3 linked regions of the Cricetulus griseus genome follow. The protein of the gene in region 1 interacts with the protein of each later gene in a pairwise test. Links are inferred from orthologs where the notes say so. Each region holds a gene or a part of one and is shown on either strand. Other genes may lie near its edges.

Evidence for each region.
Region 2: the proteins of Rbpms (region 1) and Dvl2 interact in a two-hybrid assay, tested with the Homo sapiens proteins (2 studies listed by BioGRID and IntAct). The two-hybrid records come from large-scale screens. The link is inferred for Cricetulus griseus from reciprocal best matches to the Homo sapiens genes RBPMS and DVL2.
Region 3: the proteins of Rbpms (region 1) and Tollip interact in binary tests that used the Homo sapiens proteins (3 or more experiments, as listed by UniProt). The two-hybrid records come from large-scale screens. The link is inferred for Cricetulus griseus from reciprocal best matches to the Homo sapiens genes RBPMS and TOLLIP.

What each region holds. Positions count from the first base shown.
Region 1 is NW_023276807.1:51,013,785-51,016,480, reverse strand, and holds the end of Rbpms (RNA-binding protein with multiple splicing), read right to left. Parts: intron 752-2,696; coding exon 620-751; 3' UTR 501-619; downstream 1-500.
Region 2 is NC_048600.1:83,846,839-83,850,810, reverse strand, and holds the start of Dvl2 (segment polarity protein dishevelled homolog DVL-2), read right to left. Parts: upstream 2,801-3,972; coding exon 2,607-2,800; intron 1-2,606.
Region 3 is NC_048596.1:59,283,578-59,287,582, reverse strand, and holds the start of Tollip (toll-interacting protein), read right to left. Parts: upstream 2,801-4,005; 5' UTR 2,674-2,800; coding exon 2,641-2,673; intron 1-2,640. UniProt on the Homo sapiens protein: Component of the signaling pathway of IL-1 and Toll-like receptors. Inhibits cell activation by microbial products. Recruits IRAK1 to the IL-1 receptor complex. Inhibits IRAK1 phosphorylation and kinase activity.

The sequences.
Region 1 (2,696 bases):
CAGGTGTATGCCACCATTAATTAGATCAAAAGCAATGGGATTTGATGGTACATAAGTACCATTAAACCAGAGAGAGAATTGTAGCTCATGACTAGATAGAACCGAACTAGAAATGGGATCCAACTCAATAACGGAGGTCCCATTTTGGGGGTCTTCCCTTCCTTGGGAACAGAGCAGGCACACAGCAGTATGTGTCCCCTAGCTAGATCTGGCAGCCTTGTTGGTGCTGATGCAAGAACTTCTGGTAGCCGATGACCTGTTGGCACGAGGATCTTCTAACATGAAGCTCAGGGTGGTTTCGGAGCTCGAGAAGATGGCAGCGGCATCGATGAAGCCCTGGAGCTGGGCGCAGTCTTCTAGGGTGCTCTTTCAGAATCTGCTCCCGTGAAACATGCAACTTAGCTTCTACGGGCCAGGTACTCACAAACTCAGCCAGAGATTAAATACTTTTGCTCCAAAATTGTAGCACCATGAAAACAAACTCTGTAGTCTACTTGAGATCATTTTCCCTCTGATTGAAATTTTTATTGAAATCTCTCAAATATCATCAAGAAATAGTTTTTTGTTTTTTTGATTTTTTTTGTTTTTTGCAAAAGGGGGGTGGGGGTTGCTAACAATTTCAACATGGGAGCTCCCTCTGCTGGTCTGCAGTAGGCTGATATGTGACAAACACATTCCCAGAGACAAATCTAATTTGCTGGAGAAGAGGACAAAAGACAGGTGTGTTGGGCTTTGCCTCTGGAGAGAAACACTAGAAGAAAAAAAAAAAAATCCATGTCTCAAAACAAAGCACAACATTGCAAAAAATAAAAAATAAAAAAAAGCAAAATCAGAAGAATCTCCAAGACACTCAGTTTCCAAAACAAAACCCCAGGCACCTAGGAAGGGGCCCCCACTCTGCTCCCCTCTAGTCAGTATTCTCGGAAGCCATCTTGGCCTCCAAGGCTCTCCTGACAGATTTCCCATTTACTTAGAAAAGAAAGTTCCAAGAAATCGCTGGAGCAAGGCCTCTCCAAAATTCCATCAAGAGTAAAAGAATTAGGTGAGCTGGCGCCTTGCTGTTTTAGCAAGGGAAGCAGGTGACAGACCTGCTCTAGAACTCTAGAACCACTGTGACTTGGGACAACTCTCCATCTCCTCAGGCCCTGTTCCCTGTCTGTGTAACGGGCTGGATCAGTTGTCTGCAAAGCTACCAGTTCACTCCAACATGGACAAATACATTTATTAAGAATGTTCATTTAAATGACTCTACAGAAGTGAGACTCGACATGGATCTCACCACCAGCAGATCGGAGTTCCACCAAAGGTAGGGCTGATGGCTGAGTTAGGAGGACTGCAGGCTGGGGAAGTCTCAAGAGAAGGGGGTCGTGTGGGTGATGTATGCCAACGAGGCACACGCCGTGATGCATCTAATCTTGCACTGGGTCTCCATCCCTCCTCACAGGGGCGTAGGCTTTCTAAATCTCCCAAGACCCTTGTTAGAGAGCCTTTACCCTCCATATCCTGCAAATAATTCCAGATGTCATGTCACATCATGACCAAAGCCAGTCTTCCCAGGTCTTTCTGGGCATTAGCAAGCCTTGATTCTCCAGGCAGCAGTGAATGGCTCTGTTGCCCGATGTGCAACCTTGCACTGTTTCATGGTGTGTACTGCTAATAACCCCAACAGTTGGTTGCTCTGTTCCTGAACCCTAAGCAAGAAGGGCATACCTGCACACGAAGTGTGGGGCACACAAAATGGGGACTTTATGGACCTTTGTTGTCAACAAAGTTATCCACAGCACAAAACCACTAACGACTCAGCTAAAGACAGCCACCACCTAGCTGCTCCTGCCTGCTACCTGGCAGTCACCAGGGTTACTGAACACTGACCCATGTAGAGACACCGGGCAGAGGGTGGAAAAGCAAAAGGCACACCTGATCCTTGACTTCAGTTTGTTTCTTGAACCAAGGCAAGTCACTGCCACCTCTGCACTTTTCCTAACTCCCCACACTGCTTTGTACCCCCTCCCTGAAGAGGACAGACAATATCTGTTCCCGGGCACAAGACAATGGGGTTCCCTTTGAACTCTGTCTGCCTGAAGCAGATGATGCCCCAGGGAGAACAAACAGCTAAGGAAACCAGTTGCCAATGCAGGCAAAAAGCACTGGAGTCTCAGATAAAGAAAGGTTGGCCTGCAGTACTCTTGACACAGTGGATTGGGAACACTCTCTGGGGCTGCTCCCAGGCCTCTTAATCAGGACATGAAGGGGTATCATCCAGCCTTGGAAACAAAGACCATGCAAAATAAACACCCCCCCACACCTGACCAGTCTGACAATTTACAAAGATTTATAGTATTTGTTTAGTTTGGGTGTCTGCACGAGTACTGGTGTGGAGGGCAGGGGACAACTGGCAGAAGGCAGCTCTCTCTTCTACCTGTGGGTCCTGGGGATTGAACTCAAGCTGTCAGGCTTGGCGGCAAGTGCCTTTGCCCAATGGGCCATCCTACCAGTCCACAGCCAGCAATTTTTAAGAGGCCAGGTTGAGTGGCATATGTAGTAAGACAGATAGAACCTATATTTTACTTGTCAATGGCCAGCAATAATTGTCATGGGCTGACTACATGAGTGGTTATGCCAAGGGTGAAGCTCGGGTCTCATTATTATCCTCAGCTCTCAAAAGAACCATGGCTTCCAGGGAGAGGAAGAGCTGG
Region 2 (3,972 bases), on another chromosome or scaffold:
CTTCAATGTGACAGTAACACTCCACACCAGGAAAGCGCCCACTGAGAGGGGATGAGAGGCTTCCCGTTTCCTGGCTGCCTCATCTCACTAAGCAATCTGCTCAGCCTGAAACATCCTGAAGCCCAGCCTTGGTGGCCAGCCTCCCACAGGCTCCCGCCTCGGATTAAACTTGTTCCTTCTCAATACCCACAAGAAATCATTAGCACCTACTCTGTTCAACATGTGTCCTGGGTGTGCAGCACCAGCCTTGATACTTAGTAAGCATTAGCAAATACATGGTGACAAAATATGAGCCATGAGGCTTACTTTCACATACACAACACCCTCACCTTCAAATTAGAACTTCTTGTCTGGGGGCTGGCTTAGTGAGAGTTGGCTTGTGGTTAAGAGCATTTATCGCTCTTCCAAAAGGCCCCAGGTTTAGTTTCCAGCACCCACATAGTGGCTCACAACCATCTGTAACTCCAGTTCTGGGCTCTGTCTCTTCTAATGTTCACAGGCACCAGGCATGCACATGATATACATACATGCAGACAAAACACTCATATACATAAAAATAATGAAAAAATTAAAATAAAACCTCTTGATTGATTAACACTAGCCTAATATGCTCTGGGGGCCTTGGGTATATGCCACATTTTGAAGGTATATTCCTCATATATTAGCTGCCAAGACAACATAGCCCAGTCACCAGGGGTCTGCTCAGTGTATACAACTCTTCCCAACATAACCCAACCTCATCAAACCCAGCGTGGCCCAGTCTCCTCCAAAGCAGGCAATTTTGTATCACTATAATCTAGTCTATGAACTAGTTAGCCTCAATACTAAATGAAAATTACCAGCCACCAAGATTTACCATGTGCTTGCACCTAAATTAAGTATTTTACACTATGATTATCATCATGCCACAGATGAAGAAATCAAAGCACAAAAGTTAAATAGATTGCCTAAAATTATAATGCAAAAAGAAGAACCAAGATTCAAATCCAAGACAACCCCCTAGATAGTATCACTCTGCCCATGTCGAAAAATCTTCAGTGAGAGTCCAGTTTGTTCAGTTCTAGCTAATGGGGAATGTGCTCCAACCACAGGTAAGGAGCCTTGCTCCAACCCAGGTGGTAGATAACCTTTTTCTCCCCAGTACCCTGCTATCCTTGCTTATGCCAACTCAGAACATCAGAATCCAATGCACTCTATCTTCAGACCTTGAGCCTGAGGACACACAAGACTCGGTCTCAATAGCTACAAAACAAAAGGCTGCCTTACTCAAGAGTTCTACTCCAGCCCAGGATCACCCAGAATGTCCCAAATTACCCCAGAACAACCCCCATCTAATCTAGCAAAGCCCCAGTGCCTCCACACAAGCAGCTGTCTGCACCAGTACTGATTGCAATACCCCAATACAATATGCACGGACTCCACCAGCCTATTCCTATCTTGTAACACAGTAAACCCAGGTCTGGGCCAGGTATAGTGTCACACACCTCTAGCCTCAGCATGAAGGATGCAGACATAGAGGCAGGGCTGCTACAAATTCAAGGTGAGTCTGTTCTACATTGTGAGCTCTAGGTAGCTTTAGTTACAGGATGAAATCCTGGCTCAGCAGTTAAGAGCACTGGCTGCTCTTCCAAAGGACTGGAGTGCAATTCCCAGCACCTAAATAGAGGATAACATATACATAACTCCAGTTCCAAGCGATCCCAAGCCATCTTCTGGTTTCTGAGGCATTGCATGCTTGTAGTGCACAAATATGCACGCATGCAAAACACCCATACACATAAAATATCTTTAAAATAAACAAACAAACCTCCAATTTCCCCCGTAGGGGGAGGGGAATCTACTCCTAAGAGAAAATAAAAAGAACCCAGTAGAGTTCAGAAGGTTGCAAACTTTGCCAGAAAAAAATCTATTCAAAACAGTCCAACCTATCCCCGACAGACCTCTCTGCATTATTTCAGATCTCAAAATAATACTATGGGACCTAATTAATAAGCCAGGATAGCCTAAATTGTCTAAGTATAGCTCAATCTACATAATGACACTGCATGCCCAGCATATTGGCTCACACCTGTTAACTCCAGCTCTCAAGGCTGAAAGCAGGAACTCCATGAGTTCGGAGCCAGCCTAGGATACAAAGAGTAAGGCCTGTCTCAAAACAAAAGACCAAATCAAAACCAGCAAACAAACAAACAAACAAAATAACCCTACAGAATATTCCTATACAATCCTTGTGAAGACGTCTGAGAACATACCAGACAACCAAAAGATAGTTGAATCTAATCTCAGCACAGCCTAAAATATCCTCAAGCATCGCCTCTTAGCCTTGTGGCTAAAATCAAGTAGAGAGAATGGCCAAACAAACCAGTGTGCCCCATTATTCCAACCTAATTTTCTTGCCTCTGGTTTACTGAAGTCCAGCCCGTTCTTCCCAAGCTCTGTGTGTCCAACCTTGTCCGTCTTGGGATGGGCGATCTACTCTAGCATAGTACAATATGCTATGTTCTACAACAGGCCAGAAAAATTCCAAGGCAGTCCAGTCCCCCTCAAAATCGCCCAATCCATTCCAGCACATCCATCGTCCTTCCCAGTCTAGGCCTCACGCTTACCCAAAATCCTGATCCATAGACTTGAAAAAGTACTTAGCGCCCGCGGGCCGCTGCAAAACGCTCTTGAAATCGCCGAGGGTGATGCGCTCCGCCGGGACAGGAATCTTCACCAGGTAGGGAGTCTCTTCCTCATCCAGATGGTAAATCACCTTCGTCTCGCCTACACCACCGCCCCCCGCGCTGCTGCCCGCCATGGTCTCGCTCGCGCGCTCCCGGGCTCAGCCGCCCACCCAACAGGACTAAGCGCCCCCGCCGCGCCTGCGCACACCCGCAAATTGACGTGCTAGCGCCGACAGGGCAGGGCCAGTGCGGGAGACGCGCCCAAGGAGGACGGCGTGGAGCAGCAGGGTGATAGCTTAGAGCCGTGGAGCGAGACCCAGAACCCTGGACCCCACAGCCGAGGTCCAACACCACCACCTACGTCGCGAACAGTATCGAGGTCCCCGCCCACCTCTCCCCATGCCACGTGACACAAGCCCGCCCACTTTGCGCAGCCGACTGCCCTCACGTGATCCGCTCGTGTCACGTGACTGCGAAGCTCCGCCTAGACACTCACGTGATCGCTGCCTTGAGCAACGGTCTTCAGCCCTAGAAGACTCCGCCCCCAAACGTGTACCCCGCCCCACACCAAGTACTATGGCCAACCCCGTTGACTCTTAGAATGCTGGCAACTGGCTCCCACTGTTTTACCCATCCCAGGCCCAGAGCTCAAAGCACCTCAGGTGCAACTATGGGGGTGTGGGAGGGTACTGGTAAATCGAGAACTGCAAACCAACTTGGACCTCTAGGACGACTTCTGGTTTGAGAACGCTGAAAACTAGACCTTTCAAGATTTGACTTTTGAGTGAGAGAGGGTGATGGGGGATTCAGTGTCTCATGTAGTGGAAGCCAGCCTTAGCCCCTAAATTGTCTCCACCTCCCAAATTGTGGGATTATATCTCTGGATCATAAGAGTCGGTTTCAGCCCTAATTACATCGAGACATCTGCCAGGTCCCCTCCCCAAATAGGACAACGAGGATTGTAAAACACAAGAGCCCACTCTGCTTTATTTACAACACGCTGGCTGTCTGTACAAGCAGCCAGCCAATATTATTAAAAATGAGGCTAGTGATAATTGACACCTTTTTGCTTTTCTCCCCCACTCCACCAGCTATGGTACTCCGCCTTTGAGCAACCACTTTGCTCAAACATGGGAGCCCAAAATTAAAAACAACCGGTGTAGAAGAAAGCAAATGGGAGTGAGAGAGAAGAAAACATGAGGGAGTGCTGTATTTACACTACAATTTTATAGACAACTATCCCATTACATCCCAGTTTGAGCCCTGGCCCTGAAAGTCAAAGGGTGGTAGGTTGACTGGACAGAGA
Region 3 (4,005 bases), on another chromosome or scaffold:
GACCCCCCCACCCCCCCACCCCACCCCCCGCAAAAAAAAAAAAAAAAAAAAAACCACTACTGTAGGAAAGGAGCAGGTGTGCAGACTGGGTAGCAAAAGGGGTAATTTCAAAATACCAGTATTTTCAAAAGTGAGATGGCTATGAAAGATTGTAGTGCCCTATAGTGGCTATTAAACAAAACAAAACAAAACAAAACAAAAAAAACAAAACACAAAAAAAAAACGTAAAATACCAAATGTCCCAGGGAAAAACTTATTCCTTCACAATTATGTGGGTTCTGGCTCTCCTCCTCATACTTGCCCCATCCCAAACCCTCAACCAAGAATAGAGAACCCTCCTAGCCCAGATGAGAGTGTCCTCAGCCTTCTATAGCCTCCCAAGACACTGTCAGTCCTTCCCCACTCATCAGAGGTGAAGGTCAGCTATAGAGACAACTGCCCAAGCCTAGTCCAGGCTCCTGGGAAGGGGACTCTGAACCATAGCCTAACCCCCTGCTGCGGTTACAAAAAGAAGGCTGCCAATAGTACCCAGTACTGACCAAATGTGTACTTCTGTTTATCTTTACAGCTCCACAACCCTGAGTATGACATGAATAGTAGGGAAGAACTACCACACTCTTGACAGTTCTACTAGACCCTGACAACTGGCTAAAAAAACCTTTGCAAATATTAATGAATCCAGAGGCATATAGGTAGATCATTCTAGGTGAAGCAGCCAGTGAAAAGCTGAAAACTGTAAAAGGCATGCACTCTAAGAAACAGCACTTACCAGATCAAGTTCAAGATCTTCTAGTCTTTAAGAGACCCTGGCCATAACCCATTCACTCCTCCCACACCAAGTCCATACCTTTCTGTTTTCAATGATTAAGAGCACAGACCTGATGGTGACTGTTATTTTCTGGCTTTATATGGGTCACCATGCATAGCTGTGTCCCTGTGCTCCACACTTTTGACTCAGTGTCCAATTGCTCTAAATACTGTGGCCAATAATACATCCCAAGCAAAGTCTAAGATATCTGTCACTGATGACAATTTCTTAGAGTCCAGACACAATATTACAAGTCATCAAGAGTGCTCCTAAAAAACCATTCAGCTGTCTATGTTTATTTATAAGACTCTGTGGTCCCTAGAACACTGGGCAAGTAGAAAGATCAAGCGTCAGGACTTGACTCCACAGATTGCGCTAGTATGAATGTCACCCGACACTCCCAATTACTCATCACAGCGTGGGTTACCCCAGCTCTATACACACAGCACCAGAGTTTCCCTCAGCAACACGGGAGGACACCTTCTTACTCAATTAATGACGGACATTAAGCTCACCATCAGATGAATTCAAATGCAGTCCAGCCACAGAAGTAAAGGCACTCTCAGACACACAGTAAGGAACGGTCCACTCTGCCTGGCCCTGTGTCCACTTGGCAGGAGATAGGAAAAGAGCAAAGTACTGGCTCCCTTCCTCTTCTGTCAGCCACTAGCAATCTTCTGTAGTTTGGTGAGACACAGTGAGGATGAAGAAGGGTTGCTGAACATGAAGGTAACCCCAACTCTGGTCAGGAAGTCTGGCTTTAAAGCCCTCCAAAAAAGCACCCTGCCTGGGGCTTTCTTCAAAGTCAGAAAATCAGTCATCTACCCCAATGATTTATCTGTTACACACACACACACACACACACACACACACACACACACACACACACACCTGTCAACACCAAGCTGTCAGGGTGAGGGACCTGGGAAACCAAAGGCTTTGCAGACACTTTCAATAACTTCAGGGAAAAGACAATGGAGCCATCAGAACTGTGTTCTACACACATAACCACTGTTAGCTAACAACATCCAACTCATATCAGTCTCAGAGAACTACTGGGAGGACATCCACACTAGAGGTAGGAGAGACAGGTAGTGTTGTGGACCCCAAGACAACCCTTAGGAGCCATCACTGTTGGTTTTCCACGTTTTCTGCTCCCTTCTCCTCATTTATAGATGAACAACTGAGACTTGGAAAGGTAGCCACTAACCGGGCTCAAGAGGTAGCAACCCTGTTCTCTATAGGAGCAGGGAGAGGAAGAAACTGACACAACTAAGAGCTGATTACAAAGTGGGATCTTTCACCATCTCTGAAACATCAGAGGAGTGTCAGGCCCCACTCCTCTGAGAGATCATGGGAGCCAAGACTATCAGTTTGGGAAATTAACAGGGTCAGGACCACTCTCCATTTGGGGAACCAAGCGTCAGGGCCCATGTCCATCTGAGAGACCAAGGGGTTGGTATACATCTGGGGAAGTAAGGGGTTCGGGACCCTTTTTCCACCCGGGGAACTAAGGGGAGTCGGGGTCCCTCTCAGTATGGGGAACCAATGGGGTCACGTTCCTCTGTGTGGAGGACTAAGGGATTCAGGGCCCCTCTAGGGATTCAGGGGTTTCAGGGCCCGTGGGCATCCAAAGAACCATCAAGCTCTGCCTTCTTCCACCCGCGAGACCCTCAGGACCAGAGTCGCTACTCCGTTTGGGTACCCGAAGGTGGGACCCGCACAGCTCCGGGACGGCCGAGCAACTCGCGAGGGGCCCCACGAGGGGCTGACAAGAGGAGCCCGATCTCAGGCTGCGTTGCCCCAGTCCGGCCCTCGCCCAGTGGACTCACCGGCCCGCGCTGCGTGCTGACGGTGGTCGCCATGATGTTACGGCGACCCTGTGCCTCACCGACCGCACAGAGACCCGCCGGGAGAGTTCTTCCGCCCCCACCTCAACCTGCGTCGCCGACCGTTGTCCCGCGAGGCAATCTGCGCCTCAGTCAGCTGACAGTCACCCCGCCCCGCCCCACCCCGGCATTCCCAAGGCGCAGCCGCTTCGCAATGGCTAATCCCGCCCCTTCCGGCTAATCCGCGCATGCGTGCAAAGGGCTGGGGTGAGGGCGGGTTAAGTCTCCCGTGTACGCCTGCGCGGTGGTCACTCCTGTAGTACGGTAAGCCCTTAAAATGGCTGCCAGGCTGTCTGCGCATGCCTAAACCTGAGTGTTTCTCGGCGTGAGCCAGTCTGTTGACCCAGGACCAGGCACCCGAAACATGGATGTTTATCTCAACTCCGTCAAGTCGTCACAACGTCCAGTCACCTGGCTGGAGATAGCTAGGAGACCACCACCTGCAAGGTGCCTGATCCGCTTGAAGAAAGGAGAAAACTGATGTTTGGCAGCTTGAGGAGAAAGCAGATGGCAGTAAAACCAGTTACCCTCAAGCCCTTGAATTACTTCAAAATGCTGTGGGAGGAAGAACATTTATATTTAAATGTTAAAAAAAGAAGCCAAGCTGAAGGAGAGGCAAGAGTGGGCTGGAACACTTCCACCAGCCTTGAATTTGCCAAATGAATGGAAGAGATGTCCCTAGGAAACCCAGGCCACCCACTCTTGCCTCTTCAGAGCGCTCTCTTCAGAAGGACCTTTGGCCAGATAGACTCAATGTAGTTCCTTTAAGTTTATCCTGTGGTGGCCCCAGATCTGCAGATCTCTTTCGCTTGTGCTGCAGTAGACTTGGTACTGCCCAGCACCAAATGTACTCCTAGTACATTTCTTCACTCACACTGTGTTCTATTGTGTTCCCTTCATCTCTAAGACCTCATCTTCTACCTCCATTACCAGTCTCTGCCTTGATAGCACATGGGACTGCATCTGGGCTCTGTCCCTGGATGCAGCTGTCTATCCAGTTCTCACTGGTCTGCAGCTGATGAAGCTAAGGCAGACCAGGACATAAGACTCGACACCCAATATGGCAGACAATTTATAAGAGACCCATGATCCCTTCCTGGGGTTCACATCCCTATACAATCCTTTCCCCTTGGTTATAGACAAAACCTCTGAATTGTGTCTAAAAATGCACCGGGCATCCTGCAAGTTGTGTAAGATTGTATCTGGACAGCAGACTAGGAACTTCTTGTGACTAAGACCTGCTAAAAATGATTGGGTTTGAGATGTTCACACATATGCCCTTTAATGGATTCCCAAATCCCTCAATAT